2 linked regions of the Alligator mississippiensis genome follow. The protein of the gene in region 1 interacts with the protein of each later gene in a pairwise test. Links are inferred from orthologs where the notes say so. Each region holds a gene or a part of one and is shown in the gene's direction. Other genes may lie near its edges.

What was found. The genes of interacting proteins can lie anywhere in the genome.
Region 2: the proteins of GABARAPL2 (region 1) and RETREG1 interact in binary tests that used the Homo sapiens proteins (3 or more experiments, as listed by UniProt). The link is inferred for Alligator mississippiensis from reciprocal best matches to the Homo sapiens genes GABARAPL2 and RETREG1.

Annotation. Positions count from the first base shown.
Region 1 is NC_081833.1:77,754,673-77,762,684, reverse strand, and holds the start of GABARAPL2 (gamma-aminobutyric acid receptor-associated protein-like 2), read left to right. Parts: upstream 1-5,008; 5' UTR 5,009-5,166; coding exon 5,167-5,200; intron 5,201-5,278; coding exon 5,279-5,334; intron 5,335-7,565; exon of another isoform or gene 7,566-8,012. Other genes in the region: TMEM231 (transmembrane protein 231), read right to left, coding at 1-94, 3,779-3,907, 4,217-4,383, 4,502-4,643. UniProt on the Homo sapiens protein: Ubiquitin-like modifier involved in intra-Golgi traffic. Modulates intra-Golgi transport through coupling between NSF activity and SNAREs activation. It first stimulates the ATPase activity of NSF which in turn stimulates the association with GOSR1.
Region 2 is NC_081828.1:100,661,496-100,668,659, reverse strand, and holds the start of RETREG1 (reticulophagy regulator 1), read left to right. Parts: upstream 1-4,147; 5' UTR 4,148-4,231; coding exon 4,232-4,431; intron 4,432-7,164. UniProt on the Homo sapiens protein: Endoplasmic reticulum (ER)-anchored autophagy regulator which mediates ER delivery into lysosomes through sequestration into autophagosomes.

The DNA of each region.
Region 1 (8,012 bases):
ATTTCAAGTCTCCGTTCACGTAGAGCTGGGACCCTGGAATTGGAGAGAAAGACTGCAGAAAAGCCATGCTCTGCATCACAAATGTTGACATCCTCTGAAACAAAAAACAGGAGAGAGAACAGAATTTAGAAAAAAATATATACACATTTTCTATCCTTATAATTCTGTTAAATTTCTTCGGGGTAGAGGGAGAGGAAGGAGATATTTTCTATTTTTAACGTCAGATAATTATAGACATGAGCACATTCATAAAATAGCGCTTATTTGGTTATTATAAGTAAATGACTTCCACTGCTCCTTACACAAGCTCTAGAATAAAACCCACCAAATTGTGCAAGTCTAGTTTGAGAATATGATGCTCCGCAGTAGATGACAAAAGCAAATACCTGACCAGTTCTGACACGGCAAACCATCCAGCTAGCTGGCTCATTTAGGCCATGAAATCTACTTCTTATATTTGTGGACACAACCAGCCAAGCATGAGGAATGTCAGACCCTCCCACATGGTACCAATTATTGCCCACACTTTTCCCATTGAACAGAGTTAAGGTTGCCAGGAAATCTTACCTCTACGTAGCCCCTTGAGCCTAGGAAACTGAATGAAAAGTACTCCTCCCACTGCCTAACTACACTTCCTTACCCCAGTCACTCTGCAGTTAGCAATATGGTGGTATCAAGCCCACCCCAGCCTTTCCCTACCACAGGCTGGTATTATACTGTCTCATGTCCAACACGTTACAATGCTATAATGCCCCACACCTCCTGATCCTCGCTGCACTAGGTGCAGCCAGCAATAATCCACTTATTCATGGATTAGTTGCAAGAAGTTGCTAAATCTACATCGCCATCTGAGGAAATGTAGGGTTCCATTTATACTGGCCTGTGACACCCTTGGTTTAATGGGTCAAGGCAGCTCAAAATAGCCCCTTGACTCTAAAATCTAAGAGCAAATGAAAGAATTGCAAAAAAATAGGTCTGTGGAGGTTCCAGGCTTCTGCAATGGTTTGCCATTTATGTTCAGAAGCTGCCATACCACTAAGTGTGGCAAGAAGATAAGGGGCTTCTAACAACATAATCACCCCTTTCTTAGGTTGTGTTGTATTCTTGGTGTCAGTTGCACAGGGATCACTTGATTTGCTGCTGTGTACTCTCAGTGTCCCCTGTGCAGCCCTATTGCCCCTGGGGGTTCCAGAAGATTCCTAACAGCTATTACCAATTTTACAGAGAGCCACAGAACTCACTTAGGGGAAACCAAAGCTAGTGTCCTTTTGGGAAGGGGAAAAAAAAGAGAGGAAGGAAAAATAATCACTGATTAATAAAAACTAGAGCTGATATATGTGTGTGTATCTATCTATCTATATATATATTAACAATCAATTTTTTTTAAATTATTTTTGCTATACAAAGTTATGTTTTTTTAACAAATGAACATAAAGTAAATTCTGAACATAATACAACTTATGTTAATACTTAAAATTAGGGCTGTCAAACAATCAAAAAAATATAATTGCACTAAAAAATTAGTCGCAATTAATTATGATTTTAATCACACTGCTAAAAACTCAAAATTATGCACAGAGAAACTCAAAATTATGCAGGTACTTTGTATGGTTAGAGGGGGGGATTTGTGAAGGTGTGGGGTGCTGGGGGTGTGTGTGTGGGGTTTAGAGCCTCGGGGGTGGGCAGCCCCGAACACCCTGGCAGATGTGAGGTACTGTGGGTCAGGAGTAAGGGACAGCAGCAGGGCTGGGGGGGAGGGCTGTGGCTTGGGAGTGAGGGGCAGAGGTAGGGCACGGGCATATCACTGCCCCCACCCCACTAATCATATTACCACCTGCCTCCCCACCAATGCCCTCTTTTTTTAAACAAAGTGTGGTAACCCTACAGGAATGCAACTCAGCAGTGTGTAGAGCAGCACCCAGCAAGTAAATCTGGAGGGGAGGGGCCACGGGGAGAGGGAAGGGGCAGGAGGGGCAGACTGAGGCCCCCACAGTGAGGGAGGGAGTGGGGAAGGAGCTGGGGCGAATGTGGCCCCAGGGCCAGGGCGCATCATGGGACAGAGCTGTGGGAGGCTTGTCCAGGGACATAAAGTACGAGGGATGGAGCTCCCTGCTGCTGTGCACACCTGTGGGGGAGGCATGTGTCCCCCAGATTTATGCACAGGGCAGAGGCAGGCTGCCCACTGTAAGCTGACGCTCTGTGCCTGCTGCCTTTGGCCCAGGAGCCATGTGACACTATGTTGTGCCTCCCACCACAGGTGGGCAAGGGACATGCGGCACAGCCAGCGTGCAGTTCCCAGGGCAAAGGCAGGGGGGAACAGAGCCCCAGCCTGCAGCCCATTTCTGCCCCATACACAAATCTGGGGGGCACATGCACCCCATGCTCCCCACAGGGGAGCACACAGCAGCGGGGAATCGCACCACCCCCATGCCCCTGAACAAGCCACCTATGACTCCGTCCCACAACCCACCCTGGCCCCGGGGCCTCATTCACCCCAGCCTCTGCTCCAATCCGTCCCTCACCATGGGGCCTTGATTTGTTGCCCCGTCCCTTCCCTAATAATTGACAGCCCTACTTAAAATTTTAATCTCTTAAAAGCTATTTAAAAAAGATGCATTGAATTCATGAGCCTCCAGCAAGAATTTTTACAATCTGCAAGACGTAAGCTGTACGCTTTTCCTAGACAAAGCAGAAACCAGGGAAAACATCTCACTTTCTGAGGTCAAGCTTCATAAATATGGCAGAACAGATTACATGCTATGTTGAGGATGCAAGTAATTGGTAATGCCATCACAAGCGTTTGACCTGGGCTCAAGCTCTAAGACACAACTTCAGGAATCATCCAAGTCCTTCACTGAGGCCAATACTCTTACTTTACAGCTTGCCCTTCTCCAAGCTCTGATTGGCTCCTTTCTCAAATTATTAAATATTTATGATGCCACACATCACAGAACATTATGATGTGACTATACACGTGTTAAAGGACCCTCCTTGGTAGCAAAATGATATAGCAAACCTAGTGTAAACCTACATGTTTGGACAGTTTCATCAACCAATGGAAATGTACCTTCCCTTATATCAGTAATTCTCAATCTGGGTGTCACGATCCTTTCACGAGTGCCATGGGTTGCCACACAGTGTTATCGCTGTTAGGCATGCAAACACAATTGACAAGCTAAGCCCAAAGATTTCAAATAGGAATCCAGAGTGTTAAAAGCGTTCTGACCTGTTGTGGCCCAAGTTCTTTGCAAAAGAAAAACTGCTCTGTCTATAGGCAAAAAATGACTAGAAATTCAAAGCTGGCACTTTCTGAAAGTTGCTTTGAATCTAACATGGAGTGCCTTGACTCCAAAAAGGTCGAGAACCACAGCCTTACATTAAAGGAGTACAAATGGAAAAGCGAATTAGAATGAAAATTCACTGTTCTAAAAATAAGTCGTAACATAAGTCTCACCTACTAGAGTATTGCAATCACTTCTCTTTTCTGTTATTATCACTTTAGATCAGTGTTCCTCAACCCATGGGTCACATGTGTGACCAAAAGTGGGTCACAAGAATATATGAAAGGGTAATGAACAAGCTTTAAAAATGGATTCTCCTTTAAAAGGAAAAAAACGTGGGAAACCGCGGCTGCCCCACAACTGGGTCGGGACTGGCCATCGATGTTCACAAATGGGTCCTGTACAAAAACGCTGAGAACCGCTGATTGATATCATTGCTACTGGGAAGCCGGCGCTGGCTCTGCACCGAGGAGCACTACAGGCAGACGGGGACTCACGTGCAGTTGGTAGGAGAAAGTCAGAATGAGCTGCACGCCAAGCACTTGCTCCTCTGGCTTCAAAGGAAGCTCCAGTTTAAAATGCAACCGGTCCATCTTGCCATCTTGATTCTTATCTTCTTCTCTAGTCTGCAAGTAACAAGGAACCCTAATGACGCTCTGGCCTTGGTGCTGGTGCCAGCACGGTCCCAGCGGCAGACCCTCGACACTAGGAAGGATTTCCAAGGGGGAAGAGCATGCATGGCCCCGGCCTGCAGGAAGGGGCTGGAGCCGAGCCAGGCCCGCGGGCTGTGCCCAGAGCAGCGCTTGCAGCCACCTCCCACCCGCGGCAGGTGACAGCCTGCGCCCAGCCTGACCCCAGGGGCCTGGCCGGGCTGCGGCGACAGCGGACGGGGGAACCGGGCACACCCCGGCCCCGGCCGGCGCCGCCACACGCACCGCGACGAGCGGGACGCGCAGGCGCTCTCCCTGTAGGCGGTTGAAGGCGGGGAACGTGCTCCAGGCCAGGCCGCCGCCTGGCGCCGCCGTCGTGGCCAGCAGCAGCGCCTCGTAGCGGAAGCGGACGGCCGGCTGCTCGCGGTACGCGGCCTGCGTGCGCCACAGTCCTGCGGGGACGCGCCGTCAGCCGGCAGCCGCGGGCACCCCACCCCGCCCCGCCCAGTCCCACCACCCAGCCCCACCCCGGCCCCCGGACCCGGACCCTAGCCCCGCCCGGCCGCGGACCGTGGCTGCGGTAGGCCACGAGCAGCGGCGGCACGTAGGTGAGCGCGCCCAGCAGCGCGAGGCCCAGGGCGGCGGCGGAGCAGAGCCCGGCGCGGTACCGCGTGCGCTGCGCGGGCTCCGAGAACAGCTCCACGCGGCCCATGGCTGCGTCGCCATAGCAACCGCGGCCGGCGCGCGGGGACCTAACCGAGCCAATCCGCGCGTGGCTCCGGCTGGGCGGGGCCAGTGCGCGGCGGCCAATAATAACGCGCCTACGTCCAGCAGCGAATCAGCGCCTGAAGCTGAGGACGCCCGAGTCCCGCCCCCCGCCCAGTCAGTGTCAGCCCAGTACCGGCACCGTCCACTAGTAAACGTCACCACAGCAGACGCCGGGGGCGGGGACTAGCAAGTGGATCACGTGGCCGCGGGGCGCGGCTTGGCTCCGCCTCGCGTCACCGGTCCCGGATGTCGCGACCCCGCCCCCTCCTCGTTGCTCGGTCACCGTGGGCCGGAAGCTCCGCAACCTATTCTGGTTGCTGGGCAACGGGGGGGCCGGAAGTCCCGCCCGCCGAGCTGTTGTTGTTGTGACAGCGACAGGCCCGGCCGCCCCCGGAGCAGCCCCGGCAGCGCCCCCGGGCCGCCGCGACCCCGGCTCCGACCCCGGCAGAGCCTGGCCCCGCGCCGCCATGAAGTGGATGTTCAAGGAGGACCACGCGCTGGGTAAGGCCGGACACCCCGCGCCCCCCGGGAGGCCCCCCCGGCCGCCCGGCCCCGCACTAATCCGCGCGTTGTTCGCAGAGCACCGATGCGTCGAGTCGGCGAAGATCCGGGCCAAGTACCCAGACCGCGTCCCGGTAAGTGAGCGCGGCCCTCGGCCCGGCCTTCCCCCGCCCCGCCCCGCTCGGACACCGCGTCGCGGGGCTCCGCCCTCCGCATCCCGCCCGCCCGGCCCGGCCCGGCCCGGCCCGGCCCCTCCGGCTGCATCCTGTGCCCCCGCCTCGCGCCGGGCAGCGCAGCCCCCGCGCCGTGAGGGAGCGCATCCGCTTGCCCGTCTGACTGCCGCCCACCACGGGCCCCTCCGCGGCCTTCCTCGGGTATGACCCGGCAGCTCTGGAGCAGTCGGGGACCCGCCCCCCCGTGGCTCCCCCCTGTTGGGAGCTGAGCCCCATTCCTCGCCTCCCCCCGGCCTGGCAGCAGCATCTCCTCCGGCTGCTCTGGCAAGACGTGCCTGTCTCCATCTCCCCTGCCTCCTACCCCCTCGAACTCGGCGCCCCCCTTTCATTGCCTCCTGGGGTGCGGTCCCTAGCCCGCGGACCAGCTTTTGCTGATGATCAACACGTTTCGATAGGTGTCACTTTCCCTGGCTGTCTAATCAAGGTTCAATCCTAGCCGGTTACCAGCTTCTAGTAAGGAACCTGTGTGAAAAGAAAACATCTGAGATGAGGCTAACAATACCCTGCCACCTCCTGTGGAGTGGACGCTTGTGTGAGTGGATGGAGGGAATCGCGACCGAGGTGCACTGACGGGTGCAGTTGTGTTGGGTAGCATCAGTGGGAGTTCAGATGTCTAGATGCGGTCCCGAATCTCACACGCAGAGTCCCTCTCAGGGAGCAGCAGTGACATGCTGCTTGTTTCTCGTAGGCCTCAGGTTTGTCTTTTAGGCCTTCTCTGTGCTTGTAAAACGAGCCCTTGGCTCGGTGCTGTGAGACGGGTGCAGGGAAGAGAGCGCTGGATGGGAACTGAGGACACGTGGGTCTCAATTCCACACAGGTTTTTTAAACCCCTTGATGGTAGCCACGGTGGGGTTCGCTCCACAGTGCTTTTAACAGGGATTATTTTCCTGATGGGTGCAGCTGCCATAACTTGACAGTACCAATTTAACCAAATAAATCATAACTATCTTCAGTGAGTCATCCTAGCCTGATCCCAGCCGACTTTCAGTGAGCAGGTATCCTCCTCTCTCGCTTCCATTCTCCTGCATTCATGTCTGCAGTTCAGGAATCTGTCCCAGCAGTGGAAGGTACATCTGCGTGGCTGTTCTCAACGTGGCTAATAAGCTCATGTGGTGTGTCCTGCAAAATGTGGCTATATGCTGGTACCTGACCTTACTCATCCACAGCTAGCTTGGTATCTGCACAGCGTGACATTGTGCCTTGCAGATATATCCGTAGCTTGAAGTTGTGCATTAAGCTGAATCCCTGCTTCCTTGTCACAAGGGATAGTGTCGTACCTCTCTGGGGACTGAGGTGCAGGATTGCCAGACCACGTAGGTTTGTCTTTGGTTGTAAATCCAAGTAAGAATGGCTTCCCCTATGACTTATAAGGCTGGAAGGTCTCTGTGACACTGTCCTGAACTTTGTTTTGTAAGGAATAAGACACTGCAGGACAGCTGTGAGGTTCTGCTCTGAAGATGTGGCTAGAACAAGCCCGAGCAGCAGGTGTCCCAGATGTCTCCAAGTGAGATGGTGTTTGTACAGTGGGCCTACTCCTACTCCAGAGAGACCTGTTGTAACTAAAGAAATCAGCCTTTTTTCAAGAAGAGCCTTTCCAAGTACCACTTTGTATCACTAGGAATAAAAACAATAAATAGATTTTATTGTAACTTAATTTTTAAATTTTAAATGAGAAATTTATTTGAACTGATTTTTAAATAGATCTGCTAAAAGTCTGACAACCTATTTTAAGGCCTAGTTTTATAACAAACTCATTCTTCTCTCCCCCCCCCCCCTCCCCCCACCACACCCACACCCTCACACTTAAGAGTTGATATGTGGGAGTGTGTATTTACTGCCAACATTTTTAATAAATCAAACCACTGGAGTAACCACCTGCAACCAGATATTATGAAGTACTAACAGTCCTGACAGCAGTAGTTTTTCCTGTAGATTCGGGGAAGCTATTTTCTTCATTTCAGCTTATTCAACTAGTTAAGTGCAATGACTGGCACGTTCAATTTATAAAAAAATAGTACTTGAAAAAGAAGTAAAGTTTGTTTTCTTCTTCCAATCTATAAATAAGTGACATATGAAAAGATAAGATCTACTAGTTCTAAAATTCTAAAGCCATGGTGACCAGAAACACTCAGTTCAGTTCATGAGCTCCAGAAAGTTTATTCATTTATTTGTACAATACATTTGTTTTAAAAGAAAGCGTTGCTTGATGCATGCTATTTTTGGATAGCCAGTACATTTAAAATTTTTAACTCAAAAATAATTTTATTTTTTATACACTTATTGGCATTCCAATTCCCATCCAAATAGAGTTTGATAAAGGGCATACTCAGTTGCAGTTAACGTACTGTGAGGCTTTCCAGCCTCAAGAATCATTCCCATGTAGGGCCTGAGAGCCAGATGTGGCACACCAGCCAGCACTGCTTCTTTGAGATGACCTTTAGGGGGTGAATCTTTGGGGACCCCCCAAACTGGAGTTTAGAGTTGCAAAACAAGAGTCAAACTCTTTTTTGTTTGGTTTTTTTAAATCAAGGTTTCCAGCTTGGTGATCTAAATGGACAATTTTAATCAACTTTCTCTGA
Region 2 (7,164 bases), on another chromosome or scaffold:
GACTGGGGTGGGGGGCACCATTTGTAGGCGGCAGCATTGGTAGTGAGCAGCAAGCGGGGACTGCCTGCAGACGCCAGTGGCGGTGTTGGCGGCAGTGGGGGAGCAAGTGGGGACTGCCTGCAGACACTGGTGGGGAGCGAGGTGAGCAGCGACTGCCTGCAGAAGCCAGCGGCGGCAGCAGCCAATCTCATCGGGGGCACATGCCCCTCCCTGTGCTCCCCCTACACATCACCTACAGGCATGAGGGTGCTTCAGTGCAGGGGCTGCCTGCCACCTAGCCCTGCACTGGAGCATCCTTGTGCCCCAGCCAGCCCCTCAACAGCATGCTGAGCCACACTGAAGCAGCCCTGGGCTGGCAGGCTGACTCACAGCGCCCCCTACTAGCTGGGGCTGCTCCAACCTGGCACAATGTGCTTAGGTCCTGGGTGCACATGTAATCATGGCACCCAGGAGCAATAAACTGGTGCAATGTGTACCAGAGTTTATTGTGTCGCATTAGTTGCACATGTAAATGTGCCCATTATGCATAATATTAGTCCAAAGCCAAAAGACTCATGATTTACCACATAGCTCATTGGGCTGGGCCCCAGCAGAGTCAACAGCATTTTGAGCCATGGTGATCCTGTAGTTCAGCATTGTTCAGTAGGTTGTGCAGTGCTACATGTACAGTTAATGTGCCTCGATTTTCTGTGCAGAAAATTCAAGCTCGTTAAAGCGCTTCCAGGTGCACATCTACATGTGTGCCTGCATCGGGAGTAAATTGAGCCCGACAGGAGCTGCTCAGTCCAGGGCTGCTCCTGCCCTGCTCTGCCCCCGTGCAGCAACTGGGTGGAGCTCCACACACCCCAAGGTGCCAGCCCTAGGCTGGCAGGAGGCACAGGGGCTGGTCCGCATCTTCACTCAGCAGGGGAGAGCTGTCCCCATTGCTGGGCAGCTGCCTCCCAGCCACGTGGAGATCAGGTCGTGTCCCAATATCCATGTGGCTGGGAGACAGTTGCCCAGCAGCTGGGACAGCTCTCCCAGCCATGTGGAGATCTGGACAGGTCCCAATCTTCATGTGGCTGGGAGACAGAGTCCCGCCAAGCCAGGACAGCTCTTCCTACCCCCTGTGGCCCCCTGCTGCTTAAGCTGACTGGGAACAATTTGTTCCCAATCAGCATCTACACATGCACTTTGGCACATTAGTTTTAAACTAATCTACTTCACAGTAATTGCTGTGCACGTGTAGACAGTGATGCTTTACTGAACATTAGATTAGTCTAATGTGCAATGAAGCATCTTGCGTAGATGCACCCAGTGGGCACGTCTACATGTGCAAATAATCTAGGAGCAATTGACTCTGAAGTACTCTAGAGTAAACTCTCCTGGGCACATATTTACACATGCAGAGATGCGGGAGCAGATTTGCTGCTTCTAGCAGCAGACTGTTCCTGCTCTGTGCAGCCCTGAACCGGGCCCCTGCAGCAGCCAGAGGGAGCACTAGGCTCCCCCTGGGTGCAAGCCCAGGGGCTGGCAGGGAGCATGGGGCCAGCAGACGGACCTTGGAGCTGCCTGCTGCCAGGGTGGGCTCTGCTACCAGAGCCCAGGCAGGGACTATGTCCCCATGCCCTGGCAGGAGGGAGCTCCCAGCCTGGGCCTTGCGACTGCAGAGCTTGGGCTGGGAGATAAGGATCTCCTAGGCCCTGATCTCCGATCATGAAACACACGCTGGGAGTTCCTTGCTACTGGGGCAGGGGGACATAGTCCGCGCCTGGACTCGCCAGCAGCAGGCTGCTCCAGCGTGCAGGAAGCAATCTCCTGCCTCCTCTGCCCAGCTGAGAGAACATTTGCTCCTGGTCAGCAGTCTACATGTGCACTCCTGCACAGTAAGTAATCAAGAGTAAATTTGCTACTTGTATTTACATGTAGGACCTTAACTTGCCATTAGAGCAAATTACTGTGCAGTAAGCATCTGTATGTTTAGACAGTGATGCTTACTGCACAGTAATTAGCTCTCATCTTGAGTAAAATGTTTTGTGTAGATGTGCCCAGTATGTATCTGTACTCCAAATACCCACCACAAAGGATCTACATGCTAATTAGCTCCCCACTCATGACTAGAACCAAGTGTTCTTGTCACAAGTCCTGGGATCCTCCAAAAAATTATATGCAGATGAGCAGCAGTGCTGAGCTGTGGGGCCACCATCGCTTGAATTATTTTATTTTTAAAGAGAATTGTTCATGTTCCAAGCCAAATCAGCCAAATCAATTCCAAATCAGTGAGTCAGTCAAGAACCATAAGTGGGCCTACTACCAGCAAACATCCTCCACCCCATCTAGAGCTTCAGATGTTTCCAAATCCTTTAGCAGGCATCCTACGTGCAGGCCCAAGCCCAGAGGCTTGGGGTTTGGATGCCCCCAAGTTTTGCTTGTCCGCAGCCATATGGCTGCAGGAGCAACCTAGGTAAGGGTCTCCCATTTCCATTGCCTTGAAATGCTGTTGACTTTGCTGGGGCCCAGTTTAATGAACCTGGTCTGACTGCACTTCATCGAGGGCAGGGCCGTTCTAATATGTGACAGGCTGAGGGAAAGTGAAACTCAGGGGCATCCAAACCCCAAGCCACCAGGCTTGGGCTTGCACACAGGATGCCTGCCTTAGGCTGGGGTGGAGGATACTTGCTGGTAACAGAGCCACATATGGTTCTTGAATGATTCAAATGGACTTGGACCTGATCTGGCTAATTTGACCTGGAACATGAAAAATTCTCCTTAAAAAAAAAAAAAAAAAAAAAAAAGTGACAGGCTGAAAAAGTGGGGAGATAGGGATTCTGCGTGAACTGTTTGGGGCCCCTTTGGTGATGTTTGCCAGACATTTAAGGCTGGTGAAGAAACAGGAGTCACTGGAAATGGAAAGGAAAGGGGCAGCTCAGCTGTGGGAGTGAAGAGGAAGTTGGCATTGAGGAGGACTGAGTGCAATAGGCACTACCATATATCTTGTTCAGAGAGATTGCAGTAACCTATCTTTGGTAAGACCTTTTGGCTAAGATCAAGTGTGGTAGGTATCCATCAGTCTGTCTGCCCAAAATGCGCCATGTCTTTTACAGCTGTGCTCAGCATGGACTGCATTAATCAATTTCATAGCTGGTTTCCATTTCTGAGCACATGCTGCTTTTGGCAGCAGTCTAAGGATACACAGTATATTTAAGGACGTATTCTTGAATTCAGTAAGATGCAAAAACTCATCCTAGTTGGGATGGAAAGCTTGATGAGGAATATCTTGTGTTCAAAATCTTGTCTCACTCCGTCCTAGCCATGCAGTTGGTCCAATAAAAGAAATGGCTGTAAGAAATCCTTGGCCCTAGGAAATCCTTGCCTTTTGCGTCCTGCTGCAACAATCATGACTACAGCACAACTCTAACACTAGTAGGGAAGAGTGAAAGATTGGGGAAAGGATGAGGGAAGTGAATGAGCAGAAAGAAGGGAGAAGCCAGCAGGGAGCTGAAGAAGGGCCAGGGCAAGCTAGGCCAAAGGGAGGAGAGAAGCCACTTTGCTTTTTGTCATTTTTTCTTGAAGCCAGCCAGGCTGTCTTACAGCCCAGTCTGTGACTGCCCAGAAGTTACCCTGTTCCCTGGGGGTGGGCAGTTGTGCTGGGAGAACAGTGACAACACCCTGCAGTTCCGGGCAGTCTCCACTCTCCATTCCTGCACCCTGCAACACAGGCTTGTGCGCCAGCTGGACACTGAGGAGGCCAAACGCCCTCAAGCCCAAGCAGTCAGCCCTTGCCTTCTCTTTCAATCCTTATCATTATTATTAACGATCCCTATTATTCACTCTGAGTAATTAGCATACTTAATGACTAATTATCATCATTACTAGCTACAAGGAAGGGCTACCTTGGCAGCACGGGCCATTCCCAGCCCGGCCTCCTGGTCTGGGCCAACCACAGCCACCAGCGGATCGGCCCCAACCCTGCCTGCACCGCTCAACAGCCCCATCGCTGCATCTGTCTCTCACGCGCGCTCCCTGTTCACTCACTCGCCCCGCCTCTCCCATTGCATCGAGGCACCTGCCCGCTGCGCAGGCGCATTCTCCCCCTCCTTGGCCATGCCTGCCCTTTGCGCAAGCGCATTCGGTCCCCTCTTGGTGCTACTTATTCCCGCGCGCAGGCGTAGTTGCAGTCACTGATCTCGGTGGCACCTGCTCGGGCTGCACCGTGACGTACCGGGGGGGGCGCAGCCCAGGCCGCGCAGCTATGGCGAGCGTTGTCGCCGCAAAGCAGCAGCCTCCAGCGCGGGACCAGCGGGCACCCGGCGGGGCAGCTACCGCCGCCGCCGTGTCGGCGCTGCTGGGAGATACGGGGCTGGCGCTGGGCGGCTGCGTGGCGGCGGCTCTGAGCTGGGAGCGGCCTCTGCGCAGCCTGGGCGGCTTCGTCTGCGCCAATCTGCTCTTCTGGTGAGACGCGGTGGGGAGCGGGGGTATTGTACTGGGAGTTCAAAGTTATGGTATTTGCTGAAAAACTATCATGTACTGAAAAATATGCAAATACGCATGTAAATACATCTTCTTATTTACTTTCTATCGCTCATGACCTGGGCCATCGAAGTGGAATCATATTTTTATTTTGAGGTGAACAGTTAAGGAAGTGTTGCCAGCAAGCCCCAAAGTCAGTTAAGGCTCCCTGAGAGTGTCTTGGGTTTTGCGTAGGCTGCATCAATGAGCTGCCGCAAAAATGATCCTGTATTTTGAATGCTTTTACAGCTTTTGATCATACTTCGTACAAGGCTTGAAATGATGTGACAGATATGATAATTATTGTATGCCCAGCAGCACTAGTGTGGGTTGCCCCCAGCCACATGTTTCCACCACTCATAAGGGGGAGTCTTACTTTTCAGTCTGTCCAGTTCATCCCTATTAGCTGTGTGAGGGTTGGCACTGAGAAAGGACTTGGAAACCAGATTTAAAGAACTGGGAATAAGGGACTTATTTCAGCCTCATCCCAGCCACAGAGGTCCTGGCTGTGCGGACCCTTGCCCTTGCACCTCTTCTTCTAGGTGCTCCCAGTCCTGGGACCTCCTGGTCGTGTTCTCCTGGCCCTGGCCGAACTGGCCATGTCTCTGACCAGGAAAGAGACTCTGGCCAGAGCTGCTTTCCTTACCCTTGTTCATTCCCGTCTCTGGGCAGAATATCACTGGGCAGTGTCTATTGGCTCCTCAGACTCGTTTGAGGGCCAGTGGGCATTGTCTGATGTGCTCTGCTCAGTGTCTCTCCTTGTTCGTAACCTTTGACCAGCACCCCCGTCCTTGGTTTGTTTGTTTTTTATTATTTGGCCCCAGTGATCAGTTGTCTCCTCTTCTGTAGCCTCCCCATCTGAGGGAAGCCGATAGGCTACTTATAAGGCTTAAGTCCATGTCCCTGAAGCTGGCAACCATCCTGGTCAACCTCCTCCTGGCCCTAGCTAAGCTGGTTGTCTACCTGGCTGCAACTGGCTGGGGTGCTCCCGGGACTGTGAGGCGTCTTCCAGTCTTCATCCTGTTGTATGGTGGAGGTGCCACACATTCAATTCAAGATGCGATGGAAACCAGTAGCAAAATAATATGCATTTTGTGTAATGTTTTTGTGGCTGACTTCCCATTTTGTGATGCGAGGTGTCTTCCAGTCTTTCATCCATTCACGTCTTCAGGCACAGTTTCACAGCTTTCCTGGAGCTGTTTGAGGGGCAGTGGTAGCCAGCCAGTGGGCTCTGCTGGGAAGGGGGCAGGGAAGATGTCTGGGGGGGTGCATGCCATTCTTTGGAGCACTTGCTATGAATATTTGACCTCTGCTACCATCCCTGTTGTCACTTCTGTTGTCCCCCTGGCCTCTGCTGTTGTGTTTCCAGTGGCCACCCTGACTCAGGCAGGCTTGCTGTTTTCTTCATGGGCCCAGCCCAGCACTGCTCAACCCCACAGGTAGGTCCTTTGGTGCTGCCTGTGCTCTCTTCAGTCTGGGGCAGCTTAACCTTTACAGTGGGCAGCTTGTTTAGGGACACAGGGATTTGGGGATTCACAGCAGAAAAATGGCCACATCTCAGATTCGTACCCATGGGAAATACTTGTGAGTTGTTTGGGGTTTTTTTGTGTTTTGCTGGCAAATACCTGTTGTTCTTTAAACACCAGTCATTCCTTTTCATGGAAGTCCCACTCGCCCATTGCCTGATGGTGTAACTTCTTCTGTGTATCTAATTGCTTCTAGACCGTGAGGTATGTGCATGTGTTCTTGGGGCTTTCTCATTTAATACAACTGAGACTGGGGAATTAATTGTTTTTCCTCTTGTGATGCTAGGATTGCCTTTTTTTTCCTTCCCAGTCAATAGAAAAGACAAAACAAGCAAACAGGAGAACTCCATTTTGTCCTCTAGAACCTTGGCAACACTCCTCTCTTTAAATAAGATGAGGTGTAGGTCGGACAGAAAGAATGTCTCGGTGTTAAGCATCTCATTGCCCAGAAAAATAGCATTGTTGAAGCTTATCAAAAACTCCTTGCTGTAAGTGCTGTTCCAGGCAGGTCCTTCATGTTGAGGAAAAGTACACATTTAGGCTGTCACTTTCTAGATACCTTAGAGACTTGTGAATTTCTTGAGACAGTAACTGGAAGGGCCCTAATGCCTAATGATGCACTTTAACAGAAGTACGTAATAAAATGGATATGTACACAGCCTAGCATATCTGCCTGTCTGTAAACGATTAGATACACAGAAGAACAGTTACACCATCAGGCAATGGGTGAGGGGGGCTTCCATGAAAAAGAGTGACTGGTGTTCAAAGAACAACAGATATTTGCCAGCAAAACACAAAAAACCCGCAAGCATTTCCTATGGGTACAGCCCTACGTGTATGTGCACTGTTACCTATATATGTGAATTTTGTTCCACGTTCCAGACAGAGGTGTTTATGCTTGTTTAGTCTGCATGTCTGACATTCGGTTGCCTAACTAAAGGCCCTGGCAGACATTACAAGCAAGATGCAATTAACATGTTACTCATGTCTTAAGTTATAACCTGGCCACACATTCAGACCACACAATGGTGCAACAAAATGGGAAACAAGCCATACATCCTTCAAGCCCCCAGGGTACCTTCCCAGCTTTCCCCACTTAGAGAGGTACCCCAGGGAATCTTGGAGTGCCTCCTTATAAGCAGGAAAGTTG